Linked DNA regions of Drosophila melanogaster. The protein of the gene in region 1 interacts with the protein of each later gene in a pairwise test. Each region holds a gene or a part of one and is shown in the gene's direction. Other genes may lie near its edges.

What was found.
Region 2: the proteins of smash (region 1) and FoxP interact in a two-hybrid assay, tested with the Drosophila melanogaster proteins (one large-scale study listed by BioGRID).
Region 3: the proteins of smash (region 1) and M7BP interact in a two-hybrid assay, tested with the Drosophila melanogaster proteins (one large-scale study listed by BioGRID).

What each region holds. Positions count from the first base shown.
Region 1 is NT_033777.3:4,657,824-4,662,601, forward strand, and holds the start of smash (smallish), read left to right. Parts: upstream 1-1,755; 5' UTR 1,756-2,576; intron 2,577-2,703; exon of another isoform or gene 2,704-3,116; intron 3,117-4,778.
Region 2 is NT_033777.3:9,725,479-9,732,483, reverse strand, and holds FoxP (forkhead box P), read left to right. Parts: upstream 1-1,611; 5' UTR 1,612-3,050; coding exon 3,051-3,589; intron 3,590-3,647; coding exon 3,648-3,825; intron 3,826-3,881; coding exon 3,882-4,059; intron 4,060-4,118; coding exon 4,119-4,163; intron 4,164-4,248; coding exon 4,249-4,325; intron 4,326-4,392; coding exon 4,393-4,494; coding exon of another isoform or gene 4,495-4,557; exon of another isoform or gene 4,558-4,866; coding exon of another isoform or gene 4,867-5,076; exon of another isoform or gene 5,077-5,333; intron 5,334-5,470; coding exon 5,471-5,914; 3' UTR 5,915-6,464; downstream 6,465-7,005. Other genes in the region: alphaTub85E (alpha-Tubulin at 85E), read left to right, coding at 1-205, 334-1,155; hyd (hyperplastic discs), read left to right, coding at 6,959-7,005.
Region 3 is NT_033778.4:7,626,821-7,631,841, forward strand, and holds the start of M7BP (Myosin-7a binding protein), read left to right. Parts: upstream 1-1,980; 5' UTR 1,981-2,292; intron 2,293-3,356; 5' UTR 3,357-3,371; coding exon 3,372-3,508; intron 3,509-4,674; exon of another isoform or gene 4,675-5,021.

The sequences.
Region 1 (4,778 bases):
AAGGAATTTATCACATGTTATTATTATTATTATTATTATTATTATTATTATTATTATTATTATTATTATTATTATTATTATTATTATATTGAAATATTTATATGCCATTTATAGCTTCTAATTAAAAGAAAAAATATAAATAAATATTATGTTCAATAACACATAAAAAAGATATTTCGAAAGATTTTGCATCAAAACCTTATTTTAGTGTTCAAAAATGCTTTACTTTTGTATTTGTAGATAAACCGAAGCTAGAAAGTATTAAAAAGAAAAATGTTTAATTCACTTTGTATATTTGTATAACCTAAATTCTAGCTTCCTAGCACTCCAACCGCTAAGTATCGGGTATCTTTTGTTTTTAAATTAAAATGTCCTGATTTTTGATACACAACTCAGTCCTCTTTCACTAATTTAAAAGAATTAACAATTTTAGCAAGGAATTTAGTATGAACGTACCATGTAAATTGTGAACAAATGTTGATCTAAGTATCTTTAGATTGACGATCAATAAAAAGCCGTCTAATTTAGCGGCTTTAAATCCTCGTAAGTACTGTCATAGCTTCCGATCGCCTGAAGTTACAGACTTTTGAATCTTATATTGTTGAAAAGGTTATGTTATTTGCATTATTTCCTAACCATTTCCTAAGACTCTATATAGCTATCTTATTCCTTATTCTTTTTTCCTATCTTAAAAAGCACTCTGATCAAGCAAAAACTTTGCGGAACGAGTCAAATTTTATATAAACAAGTTAGGAATTTATATAACGAGCGATGAACCCCACATATATACTTTGGCGAAATATGGTAAAACTTCACGTTTTGTTTTATACACGAGATATAGAATGTGATATTCTATAGGTCCTAAGTGTCATATATCAAGGAGCCCATATATTTAGTTAGGGTTCAGCTCCCGAATCAGAACATAACATAACATGAATGACTATAACCCCTATTGTTGGTAAAACTTTCTCCTAGACTATATTTACATTTACCTTATTATAGTCCTTTTATCCTATTAATATTTATATTAGGAGAATATAGGAATATGTATACTCATATTATTGTCAAAATCATATGAATACATTTTTTTATATATATTTATTAAAAAGAATCCGTACATAATTATATTGTATCTTAGCATCACAGGGTGGAGATTTATTCTTAAGAATTACCAGTCGATATATAAAAAAAGTAAAGTAAATGAATACATTTGTTTTCAAACGTTAGCTCTCGTGCGAGTTCCATTCTGAAAATAGGAATGGGTGTTTAAATCCTCACATGATTAGTGAGAGGTTTGGTTTTATCATTTATATGTTAATTGCGCTGTTATGTTGCTATTGCTGCATTGTATGGATTCATCGCTTCTAAATAAATAAATTTAAAAAAAAGGAATGGGTGTAGCATACTTTCGGGACGCGCAATAAAAAATTATCTTGAAATTGGTTTGGTTTTAAACTCCGCCATATATCATTATATAATATTATATATTATTTGATCCCAAAGCTTCATAGATTGATCCATCAGCGTCTCGTTGATTTTTGTATGCAATACTTTACGTACTAATTCAAAAACCGAGAAAGTTGTTAATTATTTTGAAGGCTTTTCGCCGAACAACGTAACAAAAAACGTAAGAGCGTACAGAGAGACCTTGCCTGCGGACAGATAAAAATACCGCTCGTAGTCCGATTCGACCCACCTCAACTGATTCAGCTGGCCACACTCCGCCCCATTTTTATATCCACAAATTCCTACGCTCGGCAGTACGTTTTGAACTCGGCCAAAAGGAGGTGGCTAAGAGTTTAGCGCGGCACGCAAGCACATAATTCCCCGCTCGGACGTGATTTCGCCCCTTGGTACATGAATACATGTGAATGTGTACATATGTGCGCACGGGAAATAAGGCAGGAAAAGCCCAAAGCCACGGAGTTCGGATCCGAGAGTCTTGCGTTTTGTTTTGCGCAGCACTGCACCTGTGCAGTGTAAAATCGTGAATTCAGTCGAGGTGCAACTGCGGCGCTTGTGCGGTTGAGGGAGGAGAGTTGGCAGAAGTGTGTTTGTGTGTGTATGTGGGTGGGTAGTGCCTTTTATTTCCGATTTTGACGGGAGTCCAATCCACCAAGCTGAGTAGTTGCAATTACGGCGCGGCGGAAAACTGTTTTTCTCGCTCACAAATACATATGTACAACCTGTATAAACAACAACGACTGCCGTAAACAGCCAACTGCGAACGCAGCAACAACAACAGTTCTAACAACAGTACACAAGCAAACACGTTTCCCGTTTTATTTTCTGGCCCGCGTTTATTAGTGTGTGTGGGTGCGCCTCTGTGTGCGAGTGCGTATGTGTGCGTGTGTACGTGTTGCTCGCTCGAGTATAGAAATTTCTAATGATTTTTGGCCTGTTCCCGAAAAGCAGCTCCAAACAACAACAACAACAACTTTAGGACTCTGCAGTGGCTGTTCCAATTGACTCGCCATTCTTTTGAATTGTTTTTATATATGTAATTGAACGCCGAAAAACAACTGTGTAAAAAACAGCATCTGTGCCAGCAACGAACAGAGCTTCGAATTTTGTTGGTAAGTGTTTTCAGCTTCTGCACAATGAATAAAGTAAATAATAAGTGAATAAGTGATTTCAAAATCTGCATTTTGAAACCGTAAAAAGTGTAGAAAAGAAAAGTGTAAAAAGGTAGCCAATTGTCTTAGTAACGTGCTTATTTATGCAATTTGTAACTATTGGCTTGAAGTTTACATAAAAAAAGGTCCATTCGAAAAATGAAGACTAATATCTTTCCTATCTTTCCTAACGGATATCAAAAAGTAGGATTGGGTAAAACACATTTCTCTCGGAGATTTTTCTTCATTGAGCGGATCGCTTAGATCCATTCATCTGACGCAACAGTAGCAGCAAAATAACGTTGTGATGACCAGGACTAGGGATATGACCTCAAGCAGCATTCTGGGACCTGGATCATGTTGGTCAGGCGGAACTTGTAGATGGAGGCTCGTGTTCTGGAGTGAGGCTTGTGAGCTTGAGTTGTACATTCTTGCGATCCATCCACCGATCTGCTGGCTTTCGAATTTGATGTTCGACAAATGTGTCTCAAAAAAATTTCGACACCCTCGACATGCGTTTCTGTGTTGGCTTTGATAGGTTTTTTCCCCAAAACATTTTCACTTTGCATGCCAATTTTCTCACCGCTCAAACTTGCAGCACTCGGGCGCCTAGTCATTTATTTGATATCATCATTATCGTCATTGCCCGAGCTACAGGCTACAGGTTTTTAGCTAATAAGGTAATGGCAAAAAGACGGGGAAAAACGGCTGAATTATAATCGAAAGAAAAAATCCATCATTGGAAAGTTGGTTTAATTGCATTTGCGGAATGCAGCTGTCAGGGTTGCCTAGTTGTGCGACAGGGCGACGCATTTTTCGCCAGCCGCGCACTTGGCTAATATTTCAGGCTTCATGCTTCATTTGCGTTACGAGCGGACCAAGTCGACTTTCGGAGCAAACCCGGCGGCAAGGGCGTTGGACTAGATTGGATCGGGTGGATTGGATGATGAAGGTGATGGGACAGGAGAAAGGTATTTGAAAGGGCTGGAGTGGGTTACACACTCCCCGGCGATATGGAGTTCATCGTCTTCCGAACTTGAGTTTCAAAATCTAAAAAAAAAACATCTCTATGTATGTATGTATGTAAGTACTTGTGTCTCCCAAGTTCTGGTGCCTGGAAAATCGTCAAACAAATATATTTTCAAAACTTAAAAATTTTTTTTTTTTGGTTTTCGAAGGATAGCGTGCACTACCCACAAAAGGAGCAATAAATTCCTCCGGGTGACAGTGGTTGGCAATTTTTTGCAGCAATTGGCAGGGCGAGTGTGGGAGAGAGCGGTGCCGGTCGTTACACGTTACACACTTTTCCGGGGCACTTTCCCAAGCGAATATTATTTTTTCTGTGCCCTCACATGAAAATCAATTCATAATGGTGCAGGTGGGTGGCGGCTCTCATGCTTTTTTTATATTTTTCTCTATAGTGCGATTGAATGCGACAGAAAATAGTATGATCAAGAAATCATATTGTTTACACATCGGTTTTATAAATTTGGTAGTTTAATTTTTATTAGTCCAAACAAATATCGGATTATATTTTTGTTTCAAGTGTACTTTTCACTTCTTTGCACGGTGGGTATTTTCCTCATCATCTGTTTTTCGAAGAGCTTTTCCGCCGCTGCTGTTTTGTTTATGCTTTTCCCATCTCATTGTTTTTGCGCGCCTCGTGCGTCAATTTATGTGAGTTCAGTTTGCCTCAAAGACGGAAGCGGTCTTAATGGTACAAATAGGAGTAGCTGCGGCTCCAGCTAGGAAACCGGAGGAAAAGGGTGCCGTGGAAATTGGCGCCGCCGCAACTGCCCAAATGCCGCGGCTGCTCATAACTTGTTTGCCGAATAATTTCCAAAGTTGCAATTTTCATTTTATGGCCATTTGTCTTCGGTTGTTTTGTCTGCCGGTTGGGGCACATTCGAAGCCCGGTTTTGCTTTTTTTTTTTCGTGGCTCATTTTGTTTTGTAATCAGAATTACATAGAGGGAAACATTTCATTTTCATTTGCTAACTAAGTTGGTCTCTCTTTCGGACCGCTCTGTAATCGGGTAAATGAAATCCAGATCAGTGGCGAAATTACAAATTTGTTCCATTTTGTTCTAAACATACTCGCATTTCGTAAGTTAAAATTTTCATACATTAGTTTCAAAAGCTAGAAATATAATGAGAATCTTAG
Region 2 (7,005 bases), 5.1 Mb from region 1:
TACCATCGGTAAGGAGATCGTCGACGTGGTCCTGGACAGGATTCGCAAGTTGGCGGATCAGTGCACGGGTCTGCAGGGATTCCTGGTCTTCCACTCCTTCGGCGGCGGCACTGGCTCTGGATTTACGTCGCTGCTGATGGAGCGCCTGTCCGTGGACTATGGAAAGAAGTCAAAGCTGGAGTTCTCCATTTACCCAGCACCACAAGTATGTCATTTGCATATGGATATTATATCTATTGCTTGAGCATTTATAGAAGACCAATTAACATAATTAGTAAAAGACATGGGAAATTAGTCTTCGAAAGGCAATCTAATAATCGAACTTCCTGTTAGGTGTCCACAGCTGTGGTCGAGCCATACAACTCGATCTTAACCACCCACACAACGCTGGAGCACTCGGACTGTGCGTTTATGGTTGACAACGAGGCAATCTACGACATCTGCCGGCGCAACTTGGATATCGAGCGACCCACCTACATGAATCTCAATCGCCTAATTGGCCAGATCGTTTCCTCCATTACGGCCTCGTTGCGCTTCGATGGCGCCCTGAATGTGGATCTGACCGAGTTCCAGACCAATTTGGTGCCCTACCCACGCATTCATTTCCCACTGGCGACATACGCTCCCGTCATTTCCGTGGAGAAGGCCTACCATGAGCAACTGACCGTGGCCGAGATCACCAATGCCTGCTTCGAGCCGGCCAACCAGATGGTCAAGTGTGATCCGCGTCGTGGCAAGTACATGGCCTGCTGCATGCTCTACCGCGGTGATGTGGTGCCCAAGGATGTGAACGCAGCCATTGCCACCATCAAGACCAAGCGCTCTATCCAGTTCGTCGACTGGTGTCCCACGGGCTTCAAGGTGGGCATCAACTATCAGCCACCCACCGTTGTTCCTGGCGGAGATCTGGCCAAGGTGCAGCGCGCCGTCTGCATGCTGTCCAATACCACTGCCATTGCCGAGGCCTGGGCCCGTCTGGATCACAAGTTCGATCTGATGTACGCCAAGAGGGCCTTCGTCCACTGGTACGTGGGTGAGGGCATGGAGGAGGGCGAGTTCGCCGAGGCTCGCGAGGATCTCGCTGCCCTCGAGAAGGACTACGAGGAGGTAGGCATCGACTCCACCACCGAACTGGGGGAAGATGAGGAATACTAGAGAAAACGTTGTCAACAAATGATACAGCCATTACAACTTTATAAACATCACTTTCTTTCTACCAAATACCAATGCATAAAACAGTTTCGCAATAAAACAGTTTAACACAATTGCTTAAAATGGCTTATTTAAATGGGAAATATTCGTCTTTAGATGGAATTTAACTTTTGTGTTAATAAGAATAAAACTTTCTCATATAAGGAAATTGGTAAATCATATATTTATTGGAAATTACCCCTCCGTAAAAAACCCTACTTATCACTTTCTTATTGCTTTAAATATTAATATTAATTGGGCAAATTAATGTTGACTTTTAAAAGTTTTTAATTTTTGAAATCGTTACGTGTAATGGAGCCTTAGGATGCATTTTGAAACGCATGCGCAAAAATGTGTACACATATTTCTAGCAAATTCAGTAGTCGTAGACGTACCTTTTCAGGAGTAGCAGCGAAAAATATTCTTAAGATAGTTTTTAAGTTTAAATTAATTTTACATATATGTGAAAAGTTGTATTAAAAAATTCGCCCGTTATTAAATATAATATTGTTCTTTGGAAACCTCTGTGAATGTTATTTAATTGTAAATGTACATGCAAAATTGTATCCTCTTTTGTCTGCAAAATTGTATGTGCATGTATGTATTCGCAAAATTTAAGTCTAGTCTGTTAAGTTAATTAAGATATTGTTGAGTAGTCTAGGCAGACAACTTTATCTTAAAAGTCCCAGTTTAAACAGTTCTTATACAGAAATTGTATGATATGTATACATATGAAATATGAATATTTTATTTACCCATATATACCCCTTGGAATAATCAATGCCCCCAACGAATACAGACAATGCAAATCTACACAATACCAACAATATATTTATCTTTATTCGCCTTTACACAAAAAGCTTATGTATATCGAATATAATACTATTTTTTCAGGATCTTCGAATGTGATGAAAACCATACCTCTCTCTTCTCTTTTATATCTTTCTTCTTTTCCTATAAAACATTTAATACTTACATATTTCACCATTTACATTTATTCTTATTTTAGGTGGCTATATAATTTTTCATTACAGGAATTTGATTAAAACAATCGTAAGATGGTCCTATCTGCAAAACTCATATACTCTTCCATTTAAGTTCATCCTATAGCCAAAACGTCCGTCCGTTTTTATATCCGTTTGTCCGTCCGTTTGTATGTCCTTCCGTTTGTATGTCCGTTTGTCCGTCCGTTTGTCCGTCCGTTTGTCCGTCCGTTTGTCCGTCCGTTTGTCCGTCCGTTTGTCCGTCCGTTTGTATGTCCTTCCGTTTGTCCGACCGTTCCGTCTGTATGTTTCTTATGTTATGTATGTTGTATATGTTTCTTTTTAGCAAAATAAGATGTGTCTGGTTTCCTTGCCACCTATGCAATCCCCTTGTGAGATCTTAAACTTGTTATACGCCTAAATATGATAAATGCTTTCTATGAATAACCTTTATATTTACAGATTAACTGCACCGGATGACGTGGCATTTTATTTGTAACATATTTAAAATTAAATCAAACATTTAAAGAATGTTTAATTTAATTTACACTGAATTCATTTAGCACTGGGCCTTTAGTAGGGGTTAAATCTTATATGCGCCAAGTTGTTAAATATTCATAACTTTTGGGGAAAGTATCATCTCAATGATAGTGCGGGAAAATTAAGCTGAAATTAAATAGGGCGTAATAAATAGAAATCCTTAAACTATCACTCTGATTCGGAGTTTTACAGGAATGGCGGCATATGAGTAAAGATAGTTTTATTGAAATGACTCCTAATGACAGACGAAAAAGAGATTATTTCTGTGTATTTGCATATGCCCATCTCTTGGGTAAAGGATCAATGGTAATGATTATAAATTTCAGTTTTAAAAACATGCATCGGATACATGACGACGAGTATTCCGAGGATGCCAAGGAATCGGACTTTAAGAGTTCGATTCAGAAGGAGATATCAGTGAAGTCGAGACACCAAATTTCCATACCAGACATATGCTCAGATGCTGTTAAGAACAATTGTTTTCCGCCGACTGGCTTTCTCAATAACTCGATCACCTTTGCCTCACATGTAGTTAAGTGCAGCTCACCGGCCTCGAGCATCGATGAATCCTCAACGGCGGCCCAGCAGCACGAATCCAATCCACACATGCATATACAGGGTCAGCATATGATGGCTCCCGTTCCCGATCTGGGTTTCTACAATGTGCCCGAGTTCATATCCGAGCAGGAGAAGCTCATGTTCTCCGATGCAGAGAGATTCTTGCGGTCGAAGGATAATGAGGTGTGCAACAATGATTTCAGCTATATGCACGATGAGTTCGCCATGCGGAAGTACTATCATCCGTTATTTGCTCATGGCATATGCCGTTGGCCTGGTTGCGAAATGGATTTGGAAGACATCACATCGTTTGTCAAGTAGGTGGAGTACAATTAGAGGTATGAAATAATTATATAGGGTATGTTATCTAACTAGGCATCTGAATACGGAACATGGTTTGGACGATCGATCAACAGCACAGGCACGGGTTCAAATGCAAGTTGTCTCCCAGCTGGAATCCCACCTGCAAAAAGAACGAGATCGCTTGCAGGCAATGATGCATCACTTGTATTTGTCCAAGCAGCTTTTGTCTCCCACCAAAATCGACAGGAAGGTAAGTCCCTTTTTATGTGAGTAAGTATTGGTATAATGAAAAGTTATAAATATAAGGACGTGCCCGGAAGAGAGGGAAAGTTTTGCCGGAGTCCGCTTACCGTAAATAGCATAGGCCGACCCATCCGACAAACAAATTCACCGAGTCCTCTGAATCTTCCAATGGTTAATTCCACCAACTTGTGCTCGATCAAAAAGAGAAACCACGACAAAAATACATTTTCCATAAATGGGGGTAAGTTTGGGAAAAATTTACTATTACTGTATAAAAATAATAATGGTTTTTGGATATAGGATTACCCTATATGCTTGAAAGAGCAGGTCTTGATGTGCAACAGGGTAAGTAAATTATGTAGACTGATCGTCTTGATGACTATTCGTCTTGTGCTTCTGGAAGACATATAATAAGAATTTAAATTTGCAGAAATCCATCGAAACAGAGAGTTTTATAAGAATGCTGATGTACGACCGCCTTTTACTTATGCTTCCCTCATAAGACAGGTAATTTTAAAAACCAATTTCCTAATATAACATTAATTTATTTTTTTTATATATATTTTATTTATAGGCTATAATTGACTCCCCTGACAAGCAGTTAACCCTAAACGAAATCTACAACTGGTTCCAAAACACATTTTGCTACTTCCGGCGCAACGCAGCTACGTGGAAGGTAAAATGCCCCATATATGTAAATCTTCTTTCCTCCATATTATCTATATATTATGCAACATAACTTTAATTTGAGTATTTATGCTATATGATATGATATCTATGATCTGATATGACCATTTGTCCGTCCGTATAACTCTCGTTTGTCCGATTGGCGTTCCTAGCTTGTCCGCTGTATATATACTATATACTACCTTTTCCACATTGTCCACTACTTTGCCAATATTTAAGAGTATAATAGAGCTAAATACAAGTGATATATAACAAGGTAAGCTACACAGGTCAGATCCTGTTTTATTCCATTTCCTTTTTATATGTCTTAAAATAATCAAATTAAGTTTGGCCTATGCTAACTGATAATATATATCATTAGAACGCAGTCCGGCACAATCTGTCCCTTCATAAGTGCTTTATGCGGGTTGAGAATGTGAAAGGAGCAGTTTGGACTGTCGATGAGATTGAGTTTTACAAAAGACGACCGCAGCGCACTGCTGGCATTGGTAACAATCTAACCGGTGCTACCAATTCGCCGGACACTAACTATTTTGTAGCCATGAACATTGGGTATGTGGGTCTCAAATAGTTTAATTCTACTCACTTTGCTCCAAACTCCTTCCGTTTTGCTCTGTTAGTAAATATACATATGCCATTGCATGCATGCTCCTATATCGAAATGATATAATATGACATTATACGATCTTTTTACAGCGCAAATTGTAAACAGTGATTCTAATCTCTTAGTGGTAGAAACCCAAAATGATGTCCGTCTGCTCATCGATCTGTCTGTCTGTCTGTCTGGAATTTAGCTGATGAAGATTATCCAGGATTTCGCGTGTTATGAAAAATGAAAATAAGAAGACCGAAGACAAATGAACTAACCTTAATATCTCAATGAACTTTTTCTTCCTTTCACGATAATGCAATTTCCTGTTTCTGACTCTTGATGGGGCTCTTGTTTTGTCCAACCAATCATAAAGAATGCGATTCGTACGAACCTTTCCTTACACAAGTGCTTTGTACGTTATGAAGATGACTTTGGCTCGTTTTGGATGGTCGACGATAATGAGTTTGTCAAAAGGCGGCACTTGTCGAGAGGGAGACCCCGGAAATATGAACCGTCCTCCTCCCCAAATTCATGCCAATCCGGCAATGGTGTGCCCACTGATAAGAATCCCTGCGACAATTGTACGCAACATTGCACTAGTTTGCCACCGGGTGCTGATAATCCTCTAGATTCCAATAATCCAAATGATTTAGGCAGAATTGGTTGTCTTCCCTATTGCGGTAGTGATGGTTTAAGTAAAGCGTCCAAGGACTATAGCAATATGGACTCGGGTATGATCGAAAGTAACAGCCACTTGACAATCGATGAATATTCTACTAATATGTACGAGAGTAGTGCCAATGAGCACAATCGATAAATAATATATCATTAACTATACATATATTTAGATGCATTGTCGAGTAATCTGCGTTTGGTAAGAAGGTTCGGATTCGGAAATTATATCTGTACATACACATGGTTCTATGTATAATTTCCCAAATAGAAATGAAAAAATACTTTTAAAATAAATTTCACTAATGCTATAAAATAAACGAAAGAACTACGTTAAATTATTAAAGCAAAATTAATGTGTTTAAACTTGCTTTAATAACTCCACTTATAACACGATTTTAATATACGAGTACAACATATATGAATATTTTCACTTTTCAGCAAGGGAGAAAACATTTAAAAGCTATAGCTTGATAAAATTTTAACAAAACTGTTTTAAAAGTCACAATATGATTTTTTTTTAAGGAAACTATTTTCAGGTATACCTTCTGTTAAAAATCTGGACCCTTGAGAGCTTTAGATTTGGAAACTCCTTAGTAAACGTATATGCTTTTCTGCTGACTTATCTAATTTCCTTCTAATTTAAGATCATTAACGATACTCAGTGACCTAAATAAATTCCTCAAATATACAACAAAGTGAACAAACTGAATTTTATTTCTAGTTCCTAAGCAAACGGTTTACGCGACGTAAAAGCGGTTAAATCGGCTTCTCAAAAGTTTGTCAATCAAAGTTTTCTACCAATTCATTATTTTAAAGCGGTCTTTAGTATATTTTAGTATATTCTATTGGAGATTTTTTGGACTGCCACTATTTAAGGAAAAACAACCGATAAGAATGGACGCATTCGTGAACTTCTGTATCTTAAATTTAATAAAATATATACAGCCTAAGTACACATATTGTAGTCAATGTCAATTTAATTTGAAAGTAAAGTTTTTGTTTACCAATAAATTTGTTTGGAGAATGTATCGATACCGTCGAATTTTCCGGCAACCATCGATACAGTCGGGCGGCATCGGTTTTCGTCCCAGCTCTAGCCAGTACGGTCACTCTGAAAGTCTCTCAACGTTTTGTGACATGAAAATTCAACGAGGACACTGTGTACATGAATAGTTGAAAAATTAAAATGGTTTCCATGCAATTTGTTTTGCAACCGCTACCGGGCTCGGACGA
Region 3 (5,021 bases), on another chromosome or scaffold:
GACACTGAGTGCGGAAATGGAAATGGCCTAGGGCCGCTCCCGATTCACAAGCAACCGACATACACACACACCACACACCGCCCAGCGGCGACAGCAGCAGCAACATGGCAGGTGAAGTGCCAGCAGAAACATCGCCAGTAGGATGCAACACCAGCAACAGCCAGGGGAGCAGTCCCCATCCCGATCCCATCCAGCAACAGCAGCTGAACTCCAGCGTGGACAGCGGAATTGCGGTGCTCGAGGCGGAGTCGCCGACCTTGAGGAGGCGCCAGCGACTGCACCAGTGCCAACGGATCCTCCAGGTGTTGCAGCGGGATCAACTCACCCACCAGCAGCTGCGCGATAGATTAAGGTGAGTGCCAGATTTTCAATCTTCTGAAGCATTCATTCGATCCAATTTAATATCAGAGGGCATATACATATATATTTATTTCCATCATTCAATTCGATGTTTTCAATTTGATTGACAACAACTTGAAGCTGTGGAAGTTGGACTGTGCCATGTGGCCAGAACGGAAGCCACAGGCAGCTGGGGGATTGGCCTGAGCCGACTTGGGTGCGCATGGAGCCCACAATCTTACGGCAAACTGCTCTGGGTGTATGCATCTGCATTTCGCAGACTGCAGGCGGATATCAATTTATGCAAATTTGCCGGCCTCAAAATGGAAATGACAAAATCTCGGGTGCAGTTAGTCAGTTAGTCAGTCACTCAGCCATGTCATTCGTACAGCCAGAAATCTTTCCGTGAGCAGTCGGAGTCTTCTGGGAACTCTTTTTTAGACAATTGTCATGGAGAAACCCGCTGCCTCTGACCACCGAGCTTTCGAATGAGTTTGCAATTTGGTTGGGAAACTGTGGCGGGGAAGTTCCATTAGAATGATAATGAGGACCAACCCAGTTCGGCGATTGTAATTGGAAAACCTCTTTGAACTATATTGTTGTCTGTTTTCAGTGTGAGGAAAGATACACTTTATAGTTGGATAATTATGCTACATAAACTTATATAACTATGTTATTGATAGAGAAACAAGTTGGAGTCTCTTCATTGTTTTTTTTTTATAATATTTCAGGATAGAGTTTTATAGAATTATAAATACGAATAGAGCATTCCGGAATCGACTGGTTAGATTGTGGAGCACCCAAATGTATGGCCCATTCCATGATAATTTCGTTTTCCACACGAGCTTCGATGCCCGAGGAGCGGAGTGGCAATCTTATCGAATGTTTCATAATTAAGTTGATTAATGGCAATTAATTGCCGTAAGCTTTGCATGCCCAATGGCAGGGCCAATCGATTTCGTAGGTTTTTCTTTTGGCCACAAACTCTTGCCACCATCCTCCAAGCGGCGGACATGTGACTGGCAGCTGCCAAGTGGCATATGCAATTGCATTTGCATAAGGTCCGTTGGACAACGTGGAATGCCAGAGAATAGTGGACGGGGTGGGTGGGTCATAAGTGTCCATATTTCTGCGGCTCAATGGGGATTTACCCGCCAACACCCACCCACCCCCACCCCCTCAGTTGCATGGCCAACAAAGCTCTGACCCAGTGCGCCAATAAGGGCCAGTTCCAATTTGGTTACTCGCCCGCAACGCACACAAATCCTAAAAAAAAACCACAAAAAATTTAAAAAAAAATTTAAAACCCTGGAAACATTTGGCCGTAGATTCAACACAATTGGAAAGAGTGTACACCCGTTTGTGACCTCACACCCGAAATAGTCTTGACACTTATCTGCGACTTTTTCGTCGCATACCGAGATATATATATTTATATATCTCTGGACGCGAGCGGAACTCTTATCAAATCAACGGTCGGTCGGTCGGTCGGTCGGTCGGCTATATACGCGATCCGCCATAACGAAGTGGGCAAACAAAATCCAATATAATGCCCATATACCCCAGTTATATATTGTGCAAAAAAGTAAACAAAACCGAATTCAACTTGGCTAAAACAAACCTGTCGCCGCTCCACTCGCAGTCGGAGTCAGCTGCTCCAATCGCCAAGTTAACTTAACTTGAAGATCGTTGGCACGGGGGGCCCTTATCCACGTGATCCTAATCAGTTTGTTGTATGTTTTGTTTCAATTTGTGCGTCATGCAGTCGGGATTGTTAACGCTGTCGACGGTTTGGGCTTTTTGAAGATGGAGCAAGGTGATCGGCGGGCGGGCGATGGCAATTAGCGGACTGAGTTCGTGTGGCAAGCACCTGAGAAACATATTGCCCGAAAAGTGATTGATAATCGTCGTTCGTAACTGCAAACAGAAATAACAAGACAAGCGAAATTTGTGGTAATTATTTATTCAGATATTTCGCCAGTGAAGTTCATTTCGGTTCAGTGGGAAGATTCCACTCCCAAAATATTACAAAAAAACCAAACAAATTTATAAATAAAACCCACATCTTTAATGCCAACTGAAGTGAATAGCACGATAATTAAAATACATCATTCTTAGAACCACACACACACACAACTGATGCTATAATTTTTGTAAATAAAAAAATGCAAAACCAAAGGAGATTATGCAACTGCCAACTTCTATAGAAGATCTCGATGAAAAAAAGCAAAAATGTCGATAGGAGCTTTGCAAAAAAACACATACAGACATTTATCAAGTTTAATTAGTGCTAATCGCAATGTGCAAAAATAAACACAAAGGAAAACACTTAGGCAATTAAATTAACGTATAAATAACTGCTAGTACGTGATTCGAACTGCAGACAAAGTTTTTTCTAAACTTCTCTCAAGTGATTGCATCTAAACTACGAGATTTGCATACTTAAATGAATAATGTTCTTTAAGTGATTTATGACAACAATTTCATTTATCCTTCTTTGCATTATGCTGAAAATTATTTATCACTAATGGTCACGACTTCAAATGTGACCAATTGCACTGAGTTGTACCTAAAAATATTTATTTACGTGATATTTTCGCTGGGAACTAATTGTATTACTGGTTTACCAATTTTCTATTCAACTTAATAACCGAAACTTAAATGCCCTGCTCAGGGTATATTTACCCATACAACTTCATGTCGAAATCTAGGCAATTTAAATCGAACAAACAAAACTTTTGATAAGGCTAAGGCCAAAGTATGTATTGGCCGAAAACCACGTAAAATGTCCACAAAGAGATGATAGCCGCAAATGAAGAATGTTCGGCTCTGATAAGTAGTAAAAAATAGTTTGGTGTAGTATTGTTCCGGATATTTCATTGATTCAGTATAGTTAGGGTTTTCAATCGAGGTGGAATTAAATCAGAGCTGCTTCCGATAAGTGTGTGTGTGCGTGTGCTTCTGATGCAAATGCCGCGAAATCGATAGCGTAATTGAATTCAATGCGAACTCCGCAGTGCCTGAAGCGCTGGATGCGCCCCTACATCTGCCTCATGGAGCTGCCAATCAACCGACCTGGAAGCGGGAACCTGCTGCTGGGACTCACCTCCGTGGTGGGTCTCATTGGAGGCGCCTATCTGCTGCAGTGTGGCGCCCAGCAGCTCTTGGGGTGAGTTAATCAAATGGGAGATAAATCAAAATATAGCATCCGATGGATACAAGTTCGACTACGTGAGCTAAGCTCCGCATCCGCACGTGCACTTTGTATGCTGCAGATACAAATGCAGCGCGAGATAAATCCGAATAGAAACTGAAACTAAACTTTCTTGACTGCAACTTCAACCCGGTTACGTGGCCATCGTTTCGCATGAGTTGATTGCGTTTGCGTGTGGGAAATGGCCGAGCTGAAGAGATTTGACATAATTGTTGCCATTTCTCCAGTCGCCGTTTTCCACCAGCTACCATTTGCCATTTGTTACTTGCCCCGTCGACCGGGATGGCGATGCAACTGCTCACTTTGGGCATCGAGTGCGTAGCGTCGCCTTAATTAAGGATTGCGCAATCTCCGCCACCTGCCTCCAATTTATGCAGCACCTGTTGTGTCTCGGCGATGGCCTGCCGGTCCGTTAGACGTTTCATAACATTGCCAGTCCAGACCCAGACGAGCTGTCATTGACTCTTCGCGAATCCGTCCACAAGAACGATAGAACCTCGAAGAATGGCCAGCGGAAGTCGTTGGCCAACAAAGGGCACAACTTTCCACCGCCCACCCGCCGCCAGCTGCTTTTTCCTTAAAAAGCGTCACAAATTGGCAATAACAATTGGCCATGGCTAACAACGCCCCTCAATTGTTGGCCTTTCGTCACCTTTTCAATGGCATCTTAATTAGCCGCTTTGTTGACAGCATTATTTGTATTATTATAGCGACGGCAGTTACACATCATTTTTCAGTGTATTAGGGTAATATGCGTATCGAAACTATAAGGCTCTGAGTAATGCATATCTTTGAGGCACAATTTCTTTATATATTTAAGCAAGGAAAAGATTAAAAACATAAACAGAATAATAAAGTTTATATGAGTACCATTTTCTACATACGAGCTTTCAGTTCGCTTATAATTCACTTATTAATTTCCGGGTCTTAAAGACGACATTTTATGAACGACATTCTATGAAGCCAAACGAGTTGTGGAACTGTGGAAAGTCAGCCAAATGCAATTAACTCTGGCCGATGGCAGAGTTTAGATATGCACAGAAATTCTGGGTTTTATTCGCCATTAAAGTGAGAAGAAACCAGTTATCTTGGCCTTGTGGCAAGTGAAAAGCCGCAAAACGAAATATTTTTAGTGCTTTCAAAACCAATTGTGAGAACAATAACAAGTTGTGGAAAATGTTTAAACTAATGCGATATTATTTACTTACTATTGAGCAGTATTGTTTTCGAGTTTGCTTATGGTTAAGGCTGTTGAAAATCGTTTTCTACGTAATAAAGCATGCTTTTAGGCATATGAGTTTTATTTGAATTTAAATAAATTTAAGATTTGGCCAGGTGAATTAAGATATTCAAGATAATTCATGAATCCATTTAGATACGGTCAATGATGATCTCACGAAAGCCGGATAGTAAACTCGGAGATAATCAAAAGATTATTACACTCATATCAATAAAACAATTTACGATG